2 linked regions of the Sus scrofa genome follow. The protein of the gene in region 1 interacts with the protein of each later gene in a pairwise test. Links are inferred from orthologs where the notes say so. Each region holds a gene or a part of one and is shown in the gene's direction. Other genes may lie near its edges.

What was found.
Region 2: the proteins of NUPR1 (region 1) and KNSTRN interact in a two-hybrid assay, tested with the Homo sapiens proteins (2 studies listed by BioGRID and IntAct). The link is inferred for Sus scrofa from reciprocal best matches to the Homo sapiens genes NUPR1 and KNSTRN.

What each region holds. Positions count from the first base shown.
Region 1 is NC_010445.4:18,398,954-18,406,150, forward strand, and holds NUPR1 (nuclear protein 1), read left to right. Parts: upstream 1-3,827; 5' UTR 3,828-4,097; coding exon 4,098-4,245; intron 4,246-4,669; coding exon 4,670-4,806; 3' UTR 4,807-4,819; intron 4,820-5,153; 3' UTR 5,154-5,458; downstream 5,459-7,197. UniProt on the Homo sapiens protein: Transcription regulator that converts stress signals into a program of gene expression that empowers cells with resistance to the stress induced by a change in their microenvironment.
Region 2 is NC_010443.5:130,925,253-130,933,265, reverse strand, and holds the start of KNSTRN (small kinetochore-associated protein), read left to right. Parts: upstream 1-3,093; 5' UTR 3,094-3,448; coding exon 3,449-3,657; intron 3,658-3,820; coding exon 3,821-3,915; intron 3,916-8,013. UniProt on the Homo sapiens protein: Essential component of the mitotic spindle required for faithful chromosome segregation and progression into anaphase.

The sequences.
Region 1 (7,197 bases):
GAGGACAGTCATGTGTCTTTATAGCTCTTTGTAGGACTAGGACTGGGCCTCTCAGTTCCCTCATAACAGAGCATCTGGAAGCTGAAAAAGCAGGATCGATCTCAACGCAGTGCTATGTATTCAACTAGTCATTTATTGGGGGCTAACTGTGTGCCAGGCTTCAGGCATAACAAGTGATAACAGAGACGTGATGCCTGCCCTCATCAATAATGATAACATGTGTTAAACACTTAATACATTCTGGGTACTATGCTAAGCATTTGTAAGAATTGGCCCTTTAATTCTCACCACAGGGAGTTCCTGTTGTGGTGCAGTGGAAATGAATCCATCTAGTATCCATGAGGATGCAGGTTCGATCCCTGGCCTCGCTCAGTGGGTCCGGGACCCAGCATTGCTGTGAGCTGTGCTGTAGGTTGCAGATGTGGCTTGCATCCCTCCTTGCTGTGGCTGTGGTGTAGGCCGGCAGGTGCAGTTCCAATTCAACCCAGAGCCTGGGAACTTCCATATGCTGCAGGTGTACATGTAGTTCTGTGCATCCTCGGTCCTGACCGGGTCCAAGCAGACGCTGTTTGGAAGGAAGGCAGGAAGGATGAATCCCCAACAGATGCCTCCATACACACAGCTGTGAAATCTTTGCCAGTGTTTGGTCAGCTGTATTGCTTCGAATGAGCCCTGAAACTAGATCAGGTAGACCGTGGGAGGAATCCTTGGCCACTCACCAGCCTTGTGACCTTGATTGAGTCACTCTCTGAGCCTCTGTTTTCCTTCTTTGAAGAATGGGGGAGGTGTTCCCTGGTGACGCAGCGTGTCAAGGATCTGGCAGTTATCCACTGCTGTGGTTTGGGTTTGATCCTTGGCCCAGGAACTTCCACATGCCTCCGGCTCCGCCAAAATAAGAAGAAGGAGGCGGAGGAGGAGAAGAAGGAAAAGGAAAGCAGCAGTGCGCCCTGGGTGGCTCTGGAGGAAGCCCTTTTATACCACAGGTGCTGTCGCCATTCTCCCTTTACAGATGAGCAGACTGAAGCTCAGACGTGGGCTCAAGATCTTGTAGCTGGTGGAGTTCTCGTTGTGGCGCAGCAGTAATGAACCCATCTAGTATCCATGAGTATGCAGGTTCGATCCCTGGCCTCGCTCAGTGGGTTAAGGATCCCGCATTGCTGTGGCTGTGGTGTAGGCCAGCAGCTGCAGCTCTGATTCGACCCCTAGCCTGGGACCTTCCATATGATACAGGTGAGGCCTTAAAGCGACCCCCCCCCCAAATAAAAAAAGAAAAAAGAAAAAAGATCTTGCATCTGGTAAGCAGGAATGCAGCTCACAGGGGTGAGTGAGTGAAAGACTGCCCCCTAGAGGTAGCTTGGGAATTTGTGGGTGTGTTCGCAGTCGCAGAGACTGCGCCCGTTGGAGCCGGACAGTCCCTCATTCTGCAGGATTGCCCCGACATCCCGCAGGTGTCTGACTGTCCTGCTAAATGTTCAGGAAGCTAAAAAGCAAAAACAGGAGTTCCCGTCGTGGCTCAGTGGTTAACGAATCCGACTAGGAACCATGAGGTTGCGGGTTCGATCCCTGGCCTTGCTCAGTGGGTGAAGGATCCGGCGTTGCCGTGAGCTGTGGTGTAGGTCACAGATGCAGCTCAGATCCCATGCTGCTGTGGTTGTGGTGTAGGCTGGCGGCTACAGCTCCGATTGGACCCCTAGCCTGGGAACCTCCATATGCTGAGGGTGCAGCCCTAGAAAAGGCAAAAAGACAAAAAAACAAAAACAAAAACAAACCCCCCAAAAAACTTATTTACCATGTCATGATTGGATTCTTTTGCTCCTATACTTAGGGATAACGCCCATCACTTTGCAAGAACCCGGTATTTTCTCATTTCCTCCACCTTCATTTGCCTTGGTGTCATCATTTTTTTAAGTTACCGTTTTCTCCTCTTTCTCCTATCCGCTGGTCTGTCATCATTGTCCCCACTCTGTCTTTATTCAAGTGTCTTCTTGTCTTCACTTTCATTTCCTGGGTGTTAAAGGACTCACAGATCACCCACATCTGGAAAACAAAAGCTAAATTTAATGCTGGCTCAGGCCCGGGAGCAAAGCAAGCAGAAGTGCCCCTGCTGATACAACAGAGGACAAGACCGGGTTATTAAAGGGTTTGCGGGAAGAATGGGTTTAGGTAACTAATGCTGACATGGAGCGGTGTCTCCTTGGGCTCTCAAGAGGGAGAGGGGAGAGGGGGGCAAGGGAGGAGCAGAGGATTAACACCTGCCCTGGGCTGAGAAGAAAGTCCTCTCGCGCTGGAAACCACAGAGTTTAAAAAAAAGAAAAGAAAAAAGTAAAAAGCTGCCTCCTTTTCTGTTCCTGATGGCTATGCCGGAGAGCTGGGAGCTGGTGCTCTAGCCTCAGCTAAAGCAGGAGTGGACAAGCCAGGGTGTGGACTCTCTAGGTCAATGTGACCCACGCCGTCAGAGCCTTCAGCCAAGAGTGGAAAATTCCACTTTCAGGTGTTACTGATCTAAACCCCTTCCTTTCATTCACAGTAAATGAGCACGAACATCTGTTTACTTCATAATGCCTTCTACCTCAGTAGAGTCATGATTTGAAATATGGATGATTTTATGTTATTTTTTAATTGACTTTTTTTTTTTTTTGCGTTTTAGGGCTGTACCCACAGCACATGGAGGTTCCCAGGTTGGGGGTCCAATAGGAGCTACATCTGCCAGCCTACCCCACAGCCACAGCCATGCGGGATCCGAGCCATGTCTGCGACCTACACCACAGCTCACAGCAATGCCAGATCCTCAACCCACTGAGCGAGGCCAGGGATGGAACCCACATCCTCACAGATGCTAGTCGGGTTCGATAACCCATGAGCCACAACGGGAACTCCAGGAGAGCATTATATTGAGCTGTTTGGAAACTGTGTGATCAACAGATGCCACGCAGCTAACCCTGTAGCAGGCAGTGTTCCAAGTGCCTTGCTGTGGATTATCTTGAACGTCACCCCAACTCTATAACCTGGATACAACTATCATCCTCCTTTTACAGAGGAGGAAACTGAGGCCCAGAGACGTAAAGTGACTTGTCCAGGGTCGCACAGGAAGTAGTGGATCAAGGATTTGAATCCAGGTCATTTGGCTCCAGAATCTGCATTCTTAACCACTCTGCTAGCCCCCATCTCAGGAGGGGGAGATCATCTACTGACCCCCAGTTCAGGATGTTAAGGGGGCTTTCCAAGGTGTTTCTTATTTAAAAGTAAAAGGGGAGTTCCCATTGTGGTTCAGTGGTAACAAGCCCAACTAGTATCCATGAGGACCTGGGTTCGATCCCTGGCCTCGCTCAGTGGGTTAAGGATCTGGCGTTGCCGTAAGCTGTGGTGTAGGTCACAGAGGCGGCTCAGATCTGGTGTTGCTGTGGCAGAGGCATAGGCTGCCAGCTGCAGCTCTGATTCGACCTCTAGTCTGGGAACTTCCATATGCCACGGGTGCAGCCCTAAAAAAAAAATTATAAAAGAAACTACATAAATACAAGAAAAAGTGGGCGTTGGTTGAGATCAGGGTCAGAACGCATGACAGAGCACAGCGTGTGTTGTGTCCTCTCCCAGGTCATTCTTCACTCCATGTTCTGCCGCCAGTCCTGAATCTGAGCCAGAAGCGGATGGGGGTGGAGGTCAGCTGTGTGGCCGTGACCCCCCAGCCCAGGAAGGGCATGTGGCAGAGGGCAGGCGATGGCCAGGGAGGAGTCAACCAGGTGAGGCGCTGAGTTCCCTGCTGGTTTAGATCCCAAGGGCTGTTTATGCCAGACTCCGCCTCCTCCCTCCTCCCCAGCCCCCAGCCCTGAGGCTCTTCTCTGTGGAAAAATACCCAGCTGGGCGAGCCCCGGTGAGAGGGAGGAGGCAGGGGGGCTGGGGCTCACGGGGGAGGGGATGACTCCTTTCCCCTCTCGTGACTGGTGTTTACTTGGCTGGGTTCTGGGAAAAGGCCAGATTGCATCAGACAGAGCCTGAGGGGCTGGAGCCAGACTAGGGGCTGAGGAGGAGACGTGGCCTTATAAATCGGGGCCGTGAACTAGGAGGTGTCAGGAAAGCAGATGCAAACACAGCCTTAGAAGATGGGCGAGGAAGAGAGAGACAGAGACAGAGACATTATGACCACCTTCCCGCGAGCAGCCAGCCCCCCCAGGCAGCTCCTATGCCCAGAAGATGAAGACCCCAACCTGGATGAGTACGACCTCTATAGCCTGGCTCATTCTTACCTGGGTAAGTCCCGGCCCTGCCACCTTCCCAGTCCTTCTATTTCCAACACAGTCCGACACCCCATCTCCCCACACTAGAATCCTTCCTTGGGCTCCTGCCCACCCATCACCCTTCTCCGGCCTGTTCCCTTGATCTTTCAAGTTGCCCCCTTCTAACCCCGCATCCACTGAGCATCCCCGTCCTACTTGGCCCTGGGACCTCATACTCTGCTAGAGTGTTTGGAGCAATGACAGATTGGGGGGCGGTACCCTATTTCCACAGATGGGGAAACAGGGACAAGGACATCCCTAAAGCTACGTGGTCATGACCCCCCAGCCTCCTGACTTTAACCCGAGCTCTTCCACCCCCGCCCGCTGGACCCCCAGCCCGTCCCTTGAGGCATCACGCCTCTGCCCACCTCACCGCGGACCCCTGTCTTGATTCCCAGGAGGGAGAGCCCGGAAAGGTCGCACCAAGAGAGAGGCTGCTGCCAACACCAACCGCCCCAGCCCTGGTGGCCACGAGAGGAAGCTGGTGACCAAGATCCAGAACACGGAGCGGAAAAAGCGAGCAGCACGGACCTGAAACAGAACTCGAGGTAAGGAATCAGGGGCTCCCTGAGTACCAGTAGAGGTCCCTCTGCTAGGAAAGGACAGGCCTGAACGTGCGTGGGTGGGCAGGGAGGAGGGATCAAACAATTGCTGTCCCAACATAGAATAAAATGAGACATATGTTGGACTCTGAGTTCCCTAGTGGCCAGAGCAAAGAGGGAAACAGATCCTTTCCAACTGGAGCAAAATTTGGTTTAGAGAGAGGGAAACCGAGGCCCAGAGAGTGTAAGATCTTTCTCTGGAGTCACGGGTGAGTGAGCAGGAGAGCCAGAATTAGAACCCGGGCCTTTGTGCTTTCACCATCTGCTTTCCTTCTGCCAGGTGAGGCCAGAGCACAGACACCCCACAGCAATGGAGACAGGACTGCGGAGGAATCAGTGCCTGGGGGCGGGATCCAGGCCTGCTGGCCGCCCTGCCCCTCCACCCCCAGGACTTACCCCACGTGACTGAGGCTCGAGGGGCTGCCAGGGAAGCCGCCCCAGCCTGAGAAAAAGGGCAGGTTGGGGAGCAAGAGGCAGGGGGTAGAGAAAAGCAGGGTCACCCCAAACAAAAAAAAAAGAAAGATGCTAAAGAGGCTGGAGCTTCCCAAGGGTGACAGTGACAATAAACAAAGTACAGCAGCTGCAGCCTGTGTGTGTGTGTTTTGTCCTCTTTATTTTCGTGGGGTTTTTTTTGGGTACATGTGTATCTGCATTTGCATGAACCAGAGAGAGCAATTTTGGTTAGTGTTTGTATTTGGTTATGCGTCTGGGAAGGGCTGTTTCTAATTTAAGGTGAGCTTTTTTTTTTCTTTTCTTTTTTTGTCTGCATGTTTGGGTGCATGTGTTTCTGTGGTTTCTTATGCAGTGTGAGGGAATTTCCTCTGTTCTTTGTAATGCTGCCTGTGAAATAAGCCCTCTCCCCAGCTCCTCTCTGTTTTTGCTTTTTTTTTTTTTTTTTTTTTTTTTTTGAGGGCTGCACCCGTGGCATACGGAGGTTCCCAGGCTAGGGGTCTAATCAGAGCTGCAGCTGCCTGCCTACATCACAGCCACAGCAACACGGGATGCCAGCCGTGTCTGCGACCTACACCACAGCTCATGGCAATGCCAGATGTTTAACCCACTGAGCAAGGCCAGGGATTGAACCAGAGACCTCATGGTTACTAGTCAGATTTGTTTCCGTTACACCACAATGGGAACTCCTCCTCTCCTTTTTTTTCTTTTTTTTTTTTTTTGGTCCTTTTGCCTTTTCTAGGGCCCCACTCGCGGCATATGGAGGTTCCCAGGTTAGGGGTCTAATCGGAGCTGTAGCTGCCGGCCTACACCACAGCCACAGCAACGCGGGATCCGAGCCACGTCTGCAACCTACACCACAGCTCACGGCAACGCCGGATCCTTAACCCACTGAGCAAGGCCAGGGATCGAACCTACAACCTCATGGTTCCTAGTCAGATTCTTTAACCACTGAGCCACGACGGGAACTCCATCTCCATTTTTGGAATAACAATCTTATTGTTTCTGTTGTCATCACATAAAACCATTTTTGAAGTAAATATTACTCATGGGTGCCACCTGCAAAATGGAGAGAATGGAGATTTAAAACATTAAGGGATTGCCCAGGGGCTCAAATTCAAGGATTCTTATTGTCCTCATGTATGAGGTGTGTCCCTTTGACAAGGGGGCTGCAGGGACAAAATTCTGGGAGGTCAGCTGCGGAGGAAGATTCTTCCCTAGAGTTATCAGTCTAGGAGCCAGACTTTGAGAAGAACTTGGGGCAAATAAGAGGTGTGATGAAGAGTTCCTGGTGTGGTTCAGCGGGTTAAGAACCCGACACAGTGTCGGTGAGGATGCGGGTTCCATCCCTGGCCTCGCTAAGTGGGTTACAGATTCGGCATTGCAGATGTCACAGTCATTTTGGCAAACAGCTCCTTCAGATTTCCCGTCAAACCCTCCTTTCCACAAAAGATTATTTATTCATTCAGTTCATGTGTATTAGATGCCTGCTGTATTATCTGGTTGAAGGCATGCATGGTAAGGAGGGACAGATGGCACCCTGATATGATTGGAACCAGCCCTTAGGGCCAGTGTCAGCTCTTGGACTCAGGAGGCAAATGGCAGGAGTGATACTCAGCACTAGCTCTCTGCCCAGGGCGGATCTGGTGCATCAGCTTCAGAAAATCACAGCAACAGGAGTTTCCGTCATGGCTCAGCGGTTAACGAACCCCGATAGCATCCATGAAGACGTGGGTTCGATCCCAGGCTTTGCACAGGGGGTTAAGGCTCCATGTTGCTGTGAGCTATGGTATAGGTGGCAGACCAGTCTCAGATCCCGTGTTGCTGTGGCTGTGGTGTAGGCCAGCAGCTGTTGCTCTGATTCGACCCCTAGC
Region 2 (8,013 bases), on another chromosome or scaffold:
CCTTCTATTACAGAGAGGGAAGCAGTGGAGTTCCCATTTTGGCGCAGTGGAAAATAAATCTGACTAGTATCCACGAGGATGCAGGTTTGATCCCTGGCCTTGCTCAGTAGGTCTGGGATAGGGCATTGCTGTTGAGCTGTGGTGTAGGTCGAAGATGCGGCTTGGATCTGGCATTGCTGTGGCTGTGGTGTAGGCCAGTGGCTACAGTTCCATTTTGACCCCTAGCTTGGGAACCTCCATATGCCCCGAGTGAGGCCCTAAAAAGACAAAAGACCAAAAAAAAAAAAAAAAAGACTACTTGAGAATGCTTGGGGAAGTCCTTGAGACAGCAAAGCAAAACATTATTATAACTGTATTACATATGTTCACATAGCTAAATAGAGATGGGAAATATATATACATATATATATATATTTTTTTTTTTTCCTTTCTTTCTTTTTTGGCCACACTTGTGGCACATAGAAGTTCCCAGGCCAGGGGTTGAATCCAGGCCACAGCTGCAGCTGCACTGGATCCTTTAACCCACTACACAAGGCCAGTGCCTTGAACCTGCACCTCTGCAGTGAGCAGAGCTGCTGTAGTTGGATTCTTAACCCACTACACTACAGTGGGAACGCTGAAGAGGGTACATTTTGAAAATATATATTTTGTAGGGGTACAAGAACAAAAGGGTTTGAAGATGCTACTCTAAGTACCATCTGCCTTGCCCCTTTCTCTGTGACTTTGCTCCTTTGATCATGCCATCTTCCTCCTGAAGCATCCTTTTCTTCCTCTCAGCTGCTCATTCCCATTAGCACATGTATCCACTGTTATCTACATCTTCGAGAAAACCCTTTCTTGGAGTTCCCATCGTGGCTCAACAGAAACGAATCCAACTAGGAACCATGAGGTTTCGGGTTCTATCCTTGGCCTCAGTGGGTTAAGGATCCGGCATTGCCGTGAGCTGTGGTGTAGGCTGGCAGCTGTAGCTCCAACTGGACCCATAGCCTGGGAACCTCCATATGCCGTGGGTTCGGCCCTAAAAAGCAAAAAAAAAAAAAAAAAAAAAAGAAAGAAAGAAAAGAAAAGAAAACCTTTTCTTGACCCCCACAATGCACCTCCAGTTACTGCCCAATTGCTCTACTACATCCACAAACTCTCTTCTGCACTTGCCGTCGCTGCTTCTTCATCTCTCCTGCACTTTTCAGCCTGTTCCAATGTGGCTTCCACTCCAACCTCTCCACCAAAATTCTTCTTCCTTTACTCACCAATGACTTTTGGGTGTATGAGAGAAAACTTATGCATGAGTTTATTCATTACAGGATTTTGTATACACCAATGACATCTTTGTTGCCAAATTAAATTCTTTAAATTCTCATCTTGCTTGCCCTTGCAGTTATTTTCAATAGTTTACCACTCCCTTCAGCAGTTTACCACTTCCTCCTCCTTAGCTTCTAGGAACTACCCTTTCTGTGTTCTTCTCACCTCTTCAGCACCTCTTTATCAGATTTCTTGGCTGGCACCTTCTTATCACTGCAGTTTCTAAGTACTGCCATTCCTGTCCTTGGTCCTAAGGCTCTCTGTACTTCTGCCCTTGGTGATTTCATCCAATATTATAGTTTTAAATACATACAAATACTCATAATTCACAATAGTATATCTCCAACCCAGACTCTCCTCTGGGCTCAAAGCCTGTATTTCCAGCTGCCCGCTTGACAGCTCCACTGGAATGTCTCAAAGGCATTTCAGATTTACCATGTTCAAAGCTGAATTTTCAGCCCCCACCCCCCCAAACACAAAATAATGACTCTATCCACACAATTATTCAAGCCTGGGAGTCATCCTTAAACTATCCCTCTTCCTTACCCCTCCTTCCCCCATATCCAGTCTAATACTGAGTCCTGAGATTCTGCTTCCAAAAGCTGTCTTAAGTGCGTCTGCCTCTCTCCATCTCCACCACCACTATCATCTCAGCCAAACCACCATCATCTCTCACTTGATTAATTACAGTAGCCTCCCAACTCTCTCTAATTTCACTCTTGCTCTCCTTCAGTCCATTCTCCATGGAGTAGTAGTCACAGTGAACTTTTTAAAATATAAATTGAATGGCACCCTCCTGCTCTAATACTTCAAAGACTTCTAATTACTCTTAAGGAAAAAAATCTCTTTATATTTGAACTACAACCTGGTTATCTTTGGTCTACAAAGATAGACCATTTGACTGTCATTTGACTGCTTATCTCTCCAGCTTTGACGGTGACATTCTTCTCCCATCTTTTTTCGTCCCTCTAGGAAAAGCCCATTCCTACCTTGAGATTTCACATTTCTCTCCTCTTCCCCCATTGTTCACCTGATTAACTCCTCCTCATCCTTTGTTAGTCAAACATCACCTCTGATGTCTTCCTTGAACTACAATTTAAACTAGGTTTTGAGAGTTCCCATAGTGGCTCAGCAGGAACAAACCTGACTAGTAACCATGAAGACAAGGGTTTAGTCCCTGGCCTCACTCAGTGGGTTGGGGATCTGGCATTGCCATGAGCTGTGGTATAAGTTGCAGAAACAGTTCAACATTGCTGTGGCTGTGGCATAGGCGGGCAGCTGTAGCTGCAATTTAACTCCTAGACTGGGAACTTCCATATGCAGTGGGTGCGGCCCTAAAAAGCAATAAACAAACAAACAAACTAGGTTTCCTTGGAGTTCCCTGGTAGTGCAATGGGTTAAAGATCCAGAGTTGTTACTGCTCATTGTTCTGGGGTACATTCCATCCTGGTCCGCATGCTGCACGTGCTGCCAATATAAATAAATTAAAATAAACTAGGTTTCCTTGCTTTTCCCTCTTCCCTCATAGTTTTACTACAGTTGGTAAATATAAACTTTTTTTTACAGCTGAATTGAGACACATTGACTAGTTTATGAGATTATTTGCTGTTTCCTAGAGGGCAGAGTCCAGGAGGTTAGACTTTTTTTTTTTTTTTTTTTTTTTTTGTCTTTTTAGGGCCGCACCTGTGGTTAGGGGTCGAATGGGAGGTGCAGCTGCCCGCCACAGCCACGTGGGATCCGGGCCACGTCTGCCACCTACACTGCAGCTCAGGGCAACTCCAGATCTTTACCCACTAAGCCGGGCCAGGGATGGAACCCGCATCGTCATGAATACTAGTTGGTTTCTTAACTCTACCATTCTCCACCCCGTAAGGTGTAGTTTTCGGCCCACCCACCTCTATGCTCCTGGCAATTGAGCATCATGCAACACCCCTGACAATCACAGACCAAATAAAGAAAAGGATTGTGACATGAACTCTAAAGGTGACTGCGTTTGCGTCCCAAGGCCAGAATATGACGCTGGTAGGTTCATAGCTCCATTCAAGTCGGCGAAGTGCACCACTCCCCTCCCCCGCCCAGACCTGGGGGCTCTCACACCCATCGCCAGGAAGCTCAAGCTCGCCCCTCCACTCTGGACCTTCCGTACAGCATGGCAGCCCCCAAAGGCGTCACCCATAGTAGTGGCTTCCGTACAACATGGCTGCCTACAGGGAGCTCACCGCACCCCCTCCCGCCAGGCCACCGGAAGTTTCCATTTGAAACCGAGGCGGCGGACTCTGTCGGCGCTACGGCAGTTGCTGCCCGGCATCTTTTGAACTCGAGTGACGAGGCCTGCGGGCAGGAGCAGCAGGCGCCTAGGTTCGGCTCTCCTGGGTCTGGAGACTGGCTGGGTGTAGGAGGCCCATGGGATGGACTGGGAATTGAAGAATTTTCTCTATTCCACGTCGTGCTCTCCTGGGGCCCTCCGTCAGCTTGGGTTCCCTGGGCCAGCCCTGGGTAACATTCAGCTTGTGCCTTCCAGGCCCCAGTCGTGCTGCCTCGTTACGATGACCAGCGTGGTTAAGACAGTGTACACCCTGCAGCCCACTTCTGTGCTGAGCAGCTGTCTGGCCGCAGGTGGGTGCCTATGCCGTCCCCACCCCCGCCCCCAGGGCGCTGCCTGGGGTGGTCAGGCCAGGGAGTACGAGGAATCAAATTGGCAGCTGAGAATGGAGGGTGTCGGCAGGGAAGGGCATTCTGTCGGCTCTGAGAGCCCACTAACTCCCTTAGAACCGGACTGTCTAGACTTATGGGAGTTAGGGAAAGAGCCAGATGGTGGGACTTTGTAGATTCGCCCTATATCCGGATTCCCCCAAGCTGAGCATTCACCAATTAGATTTAAGTTGATGATTATTTTATAGTGTTATCCCATTAAGCTAGGAATCCCTTTTTAAACATTTGCCAGTTTTATTTCCAGACTTGGGGTATCTGGAGGTACTGGGTTTGTTGTGACTGAGGGGAAAAGAGAGTCATTTGAAAGACAGGATACTTATTAGGGAGAAGCAGTCGGTTCACATGGTATCTGGTTCACATTTGTAACTGTACAGTGTGTCTCACATAGAACATAATAAACATTTTTTTGGGTGAAGTGAGAGAGAAGGGACAGGCCTAGCTAGTATTTGGGAACCTTGGAAGAAGAGACATGGTTAAAAGCAATGTTTGATTGCTTTGCCATCAGGCTTTGTGTTCTTTGGTTTGTGGTTGCAAGTCATCGCCTAGAGCCTGCAGGTGTGGAGCTGCCTAATCTAGAGATTGTAGCCCAGAACAGGCTTCAAACATCAGCACCTTTGGTGGGAGATTTTGAAGCAGCTGGTTAAGATCCCTTCCCAGTGACTCCACGCAGTTGATTGATGAGCACTAGCAGGATTGACCTGTGAAGTAATAGGCTTTTCTCCAAAAGCCTAAAGTGCTGTGGGAGTTCCTGTCATGGCGCAGTGGAAACAAATCAGACTAGGAACCATGAGGTTGCAGGTTCAATCCCAGGCCTCAATCAATGAATGAATTAAGGATCTGCCGTTGCCATGAGCTGTGGTATAGGTGGCAGATATGCCCCCAAGCCTGCGTTTCTGTGGCTATGGCACAGGCTGGCAGCTGTAGCTCGGATTAGACCGCTAGCCTGGCAACTTCCATATTCTGCGGGTGCAGCCCTAAAAAAGAAAAAAAAAAAAAGGCCAAAGTGTTCTCTTTGCACCTGGTGTCAGCAGGGCTTAGGTGTTGCTGGGGGAAACTGGATCTGCTTTTATGCTGCCTTTCCCTTAAGGGAACAGTGTCTCCCATTCAGTGGGGCATGACTGGCTCTCCCCAGCCAAATTGGAAGTTTTCATCTCTTTGATTTCTCTCCTTGTCCCAGCTTTGTGATCCTGTGTAGCCTCAATAGTTTAGCATTTTTAGGCTGCCTCCCAGGTTTTTTAATTTTGATTTTAGGCATGAGTTGGCTGGTTTTTAGCTTTTGAATCGGTAATATATGCACATGTAAAAACAAAAAAAAATTCCGAAATTAGGAAATGATAGCAAAAAACAAGTCTTCCCTTGACATAGCCAATTAGTTCCTTCTTTAGCGTCTCTCTTTTTTTTTTTTTTTTTTTTCCCATTTAGGGCTACACCCTGGGCATATGGAAGTTCCCGGGCTAGGGTTCAAATTGGAGCTGTAGCTGCCAGCCTGTGCTGCAGCTTGTGGCAACACCGGATTCTTAACCCACTGAGCGCGGCCAGGGATTGAACCTGCATTCTCATGGGTACTACTTGGGTTCATAACCCTCTGAGCCACAACGGGAACTCCTCCTTCTTTTATTTTTTGAATTTATTTTTTATTTTTATTTTTTGGCTGTGCCTGAGGCATGTGTAAGTTCCTGGGTGGGGATTGAACCCTCATCACAGCAGCGACTCAAGCTGCTACAGTGGCAGTGCTGGATCCTTAACCTGCTGTGCCACAAGGGAACTCTGCAATAGAATTCCTTTTTTTTTTTTTTTTGTCTTTTTGCCATTTCTGGGGCTGCTCCCTCAGTATATGGAGGTTCCCAGGCTAGGAGTCGAATCAAATCAGCGCTGTAGCCGCCAGCCTACTCCAGAGCCACGGCAACGCAGGATCAAAGCCTCGTCTGCGACCTACACCACGGTTCACAGCAATGCCGAATCCTTAACCCACTGAGCAAGGTCATGGATCGAACCCTCAAGCTCATGGTTCCTTGTCGCATTTGTTAACCACTGAGCCACGACGGGAACTCCAAGCAATAGATTTCTTACTGTGTATAATGAATTAATACTTGAGAGAGGAGAAGATAAATTCATTCACCCAAGTCTGCCTCTTACTTCAGACAGACTTCAGAAAGAACCCTTTTAATATTTGTTTTGGGGGAAAGAGTACAGAAAATAGGGTGTAAGTGCCCACTGAATGTACTGATAAGCGGAATAATTTGTTAGCCTGAGAAATGATATTTATTCCAAATTGTTATGCAACTGGAGTCATCAAAATAATTCTCTGTTCAACGCAAATATAAAGTTTCCTAATTTTTCTGATCCAGTGCTTCATATTATTTCTTCAACCTGATTTAATTGTTATGGCTCTTAATTTAGGTCAAGCTTAAAGGAGACAGTTTACAATGAACAAAGCGAAAGCATAAACTAGAAGAACCTCTGTGCATGTGCTGGGGGGGTGTGCCTAACTCTGGAACAAGTTACTTGAATTTGTTATGGAATGTAAATGGTAGAAAACATGTGTGGTGGAGCACTGGAGCCCCTAAGGGCTTGGGGGGAAATGCTCGTTTATGGGGAAGAAGAGTGTCATGTCAGGGCCATTTGTCTGGTTATCTGGCAGTAGCCTAGCAAGGTCAGAACAGAATGCTAAACAGGGAACGTCTAAACTTAATGATGGATAAACAAATTTAAAGGGCTGGAGTTCCTGCTGTGGTGCAACTGGATGGGCAGCATCTCTAGAGGGCTGGGACACAGTTTCTATCCAGACCCAGGATGGTTGGTTAAGGACCTGGCCTTGCCACAGCTATAGCATAAGTCACAACTGAGGCTCAGATCTGATCCCTGACCCTGGAGGCTCCCTATGCCCCAGGGTGGCCAGAGAAGAAAGGGGAAAAGAAAAAAAAAAAAAAAAAGCTGGTGGTAAAAGTAGTCAGCATTGAAGAGGGGAAGAAAAATAGAGAAGTAGGTTTAGAGAGTCTGCGAAGAGTTCCCTGGTGGCTTGGTGAGTTAAAGATCTGGCATCGTCATTGCTATGACTTGGGTCACTACTGTGGCACAAGTTCAATTCCTGTCCCAGGAACTTCTGCCTGCCACAGGCACAGCCAATAATAAATAATAGAGATGGTCTATGAATCAACCCATGAAACTGTGATGTGTTCTATTTATTCAATAGGCGGGTTTTGAACCTCTCTCTCTCTCTCTTTTTTTTTTTTTTTCTTTTTATGGTGCATCTGTGATTATGGAAGTTCCCATGCCGGGGGTCAAATCAGAGCTGCAGCTGCTGGCCTATACCACAGCTCATGGCAACGCCAGAACCTTAACCCACTGAGTGAGGCCAGGGATCAAACCCATATCCTCAGAGACAATGTCAGGTCCTTAATCTGCTGAGCCACAATAGGAACTCCTGAACCTCTCTAAATATGCCAGGTACTCTCCTAGATGCTGGGGCCACAAAGGCATCCCTTAGAGTACTAGTTAGACAGCCAGTCTGGTCAAAAAATCTAAGCAACAGCTGAAACTCAAAGCAGCTTGAGGGTAACCTTAGGAGAGTGGGCAGAGTGCTTAGAAGCAGAACAAGATGGTCCCCTCGTCTGCTGTTTGATGAAGGGTACACTGTGTCTTGCCTTGCTGACTGCAACACTGCCTCTCATGCTGTCTGCTTGTGTGAATCTCCACTTTCACATCTGTACTTGCTGGCCATTCAGTCTGATGTATCATCAAGCTTTTGGCTACCTTCAAACACACTGCATTGTCACATTTAAAGAATTTTGGGGAGTTCCCATTGTGGCTCAGAGGTAACAAACCCAACTAGTATCCAAGAGGATGTGGGTTCTATCCCTGGCCTTGCTAAGTGGGTTAAGGATCTGGCATTGCTGTGAGCCATGGTATAGGCCAGCAGCTGAAGCTCTAATTTGACTCCTAGCCTGGGAACTTCCATATACTTCAGGTGTAGACCTAAAAAGAAAAAAAAATTTTTTTTTT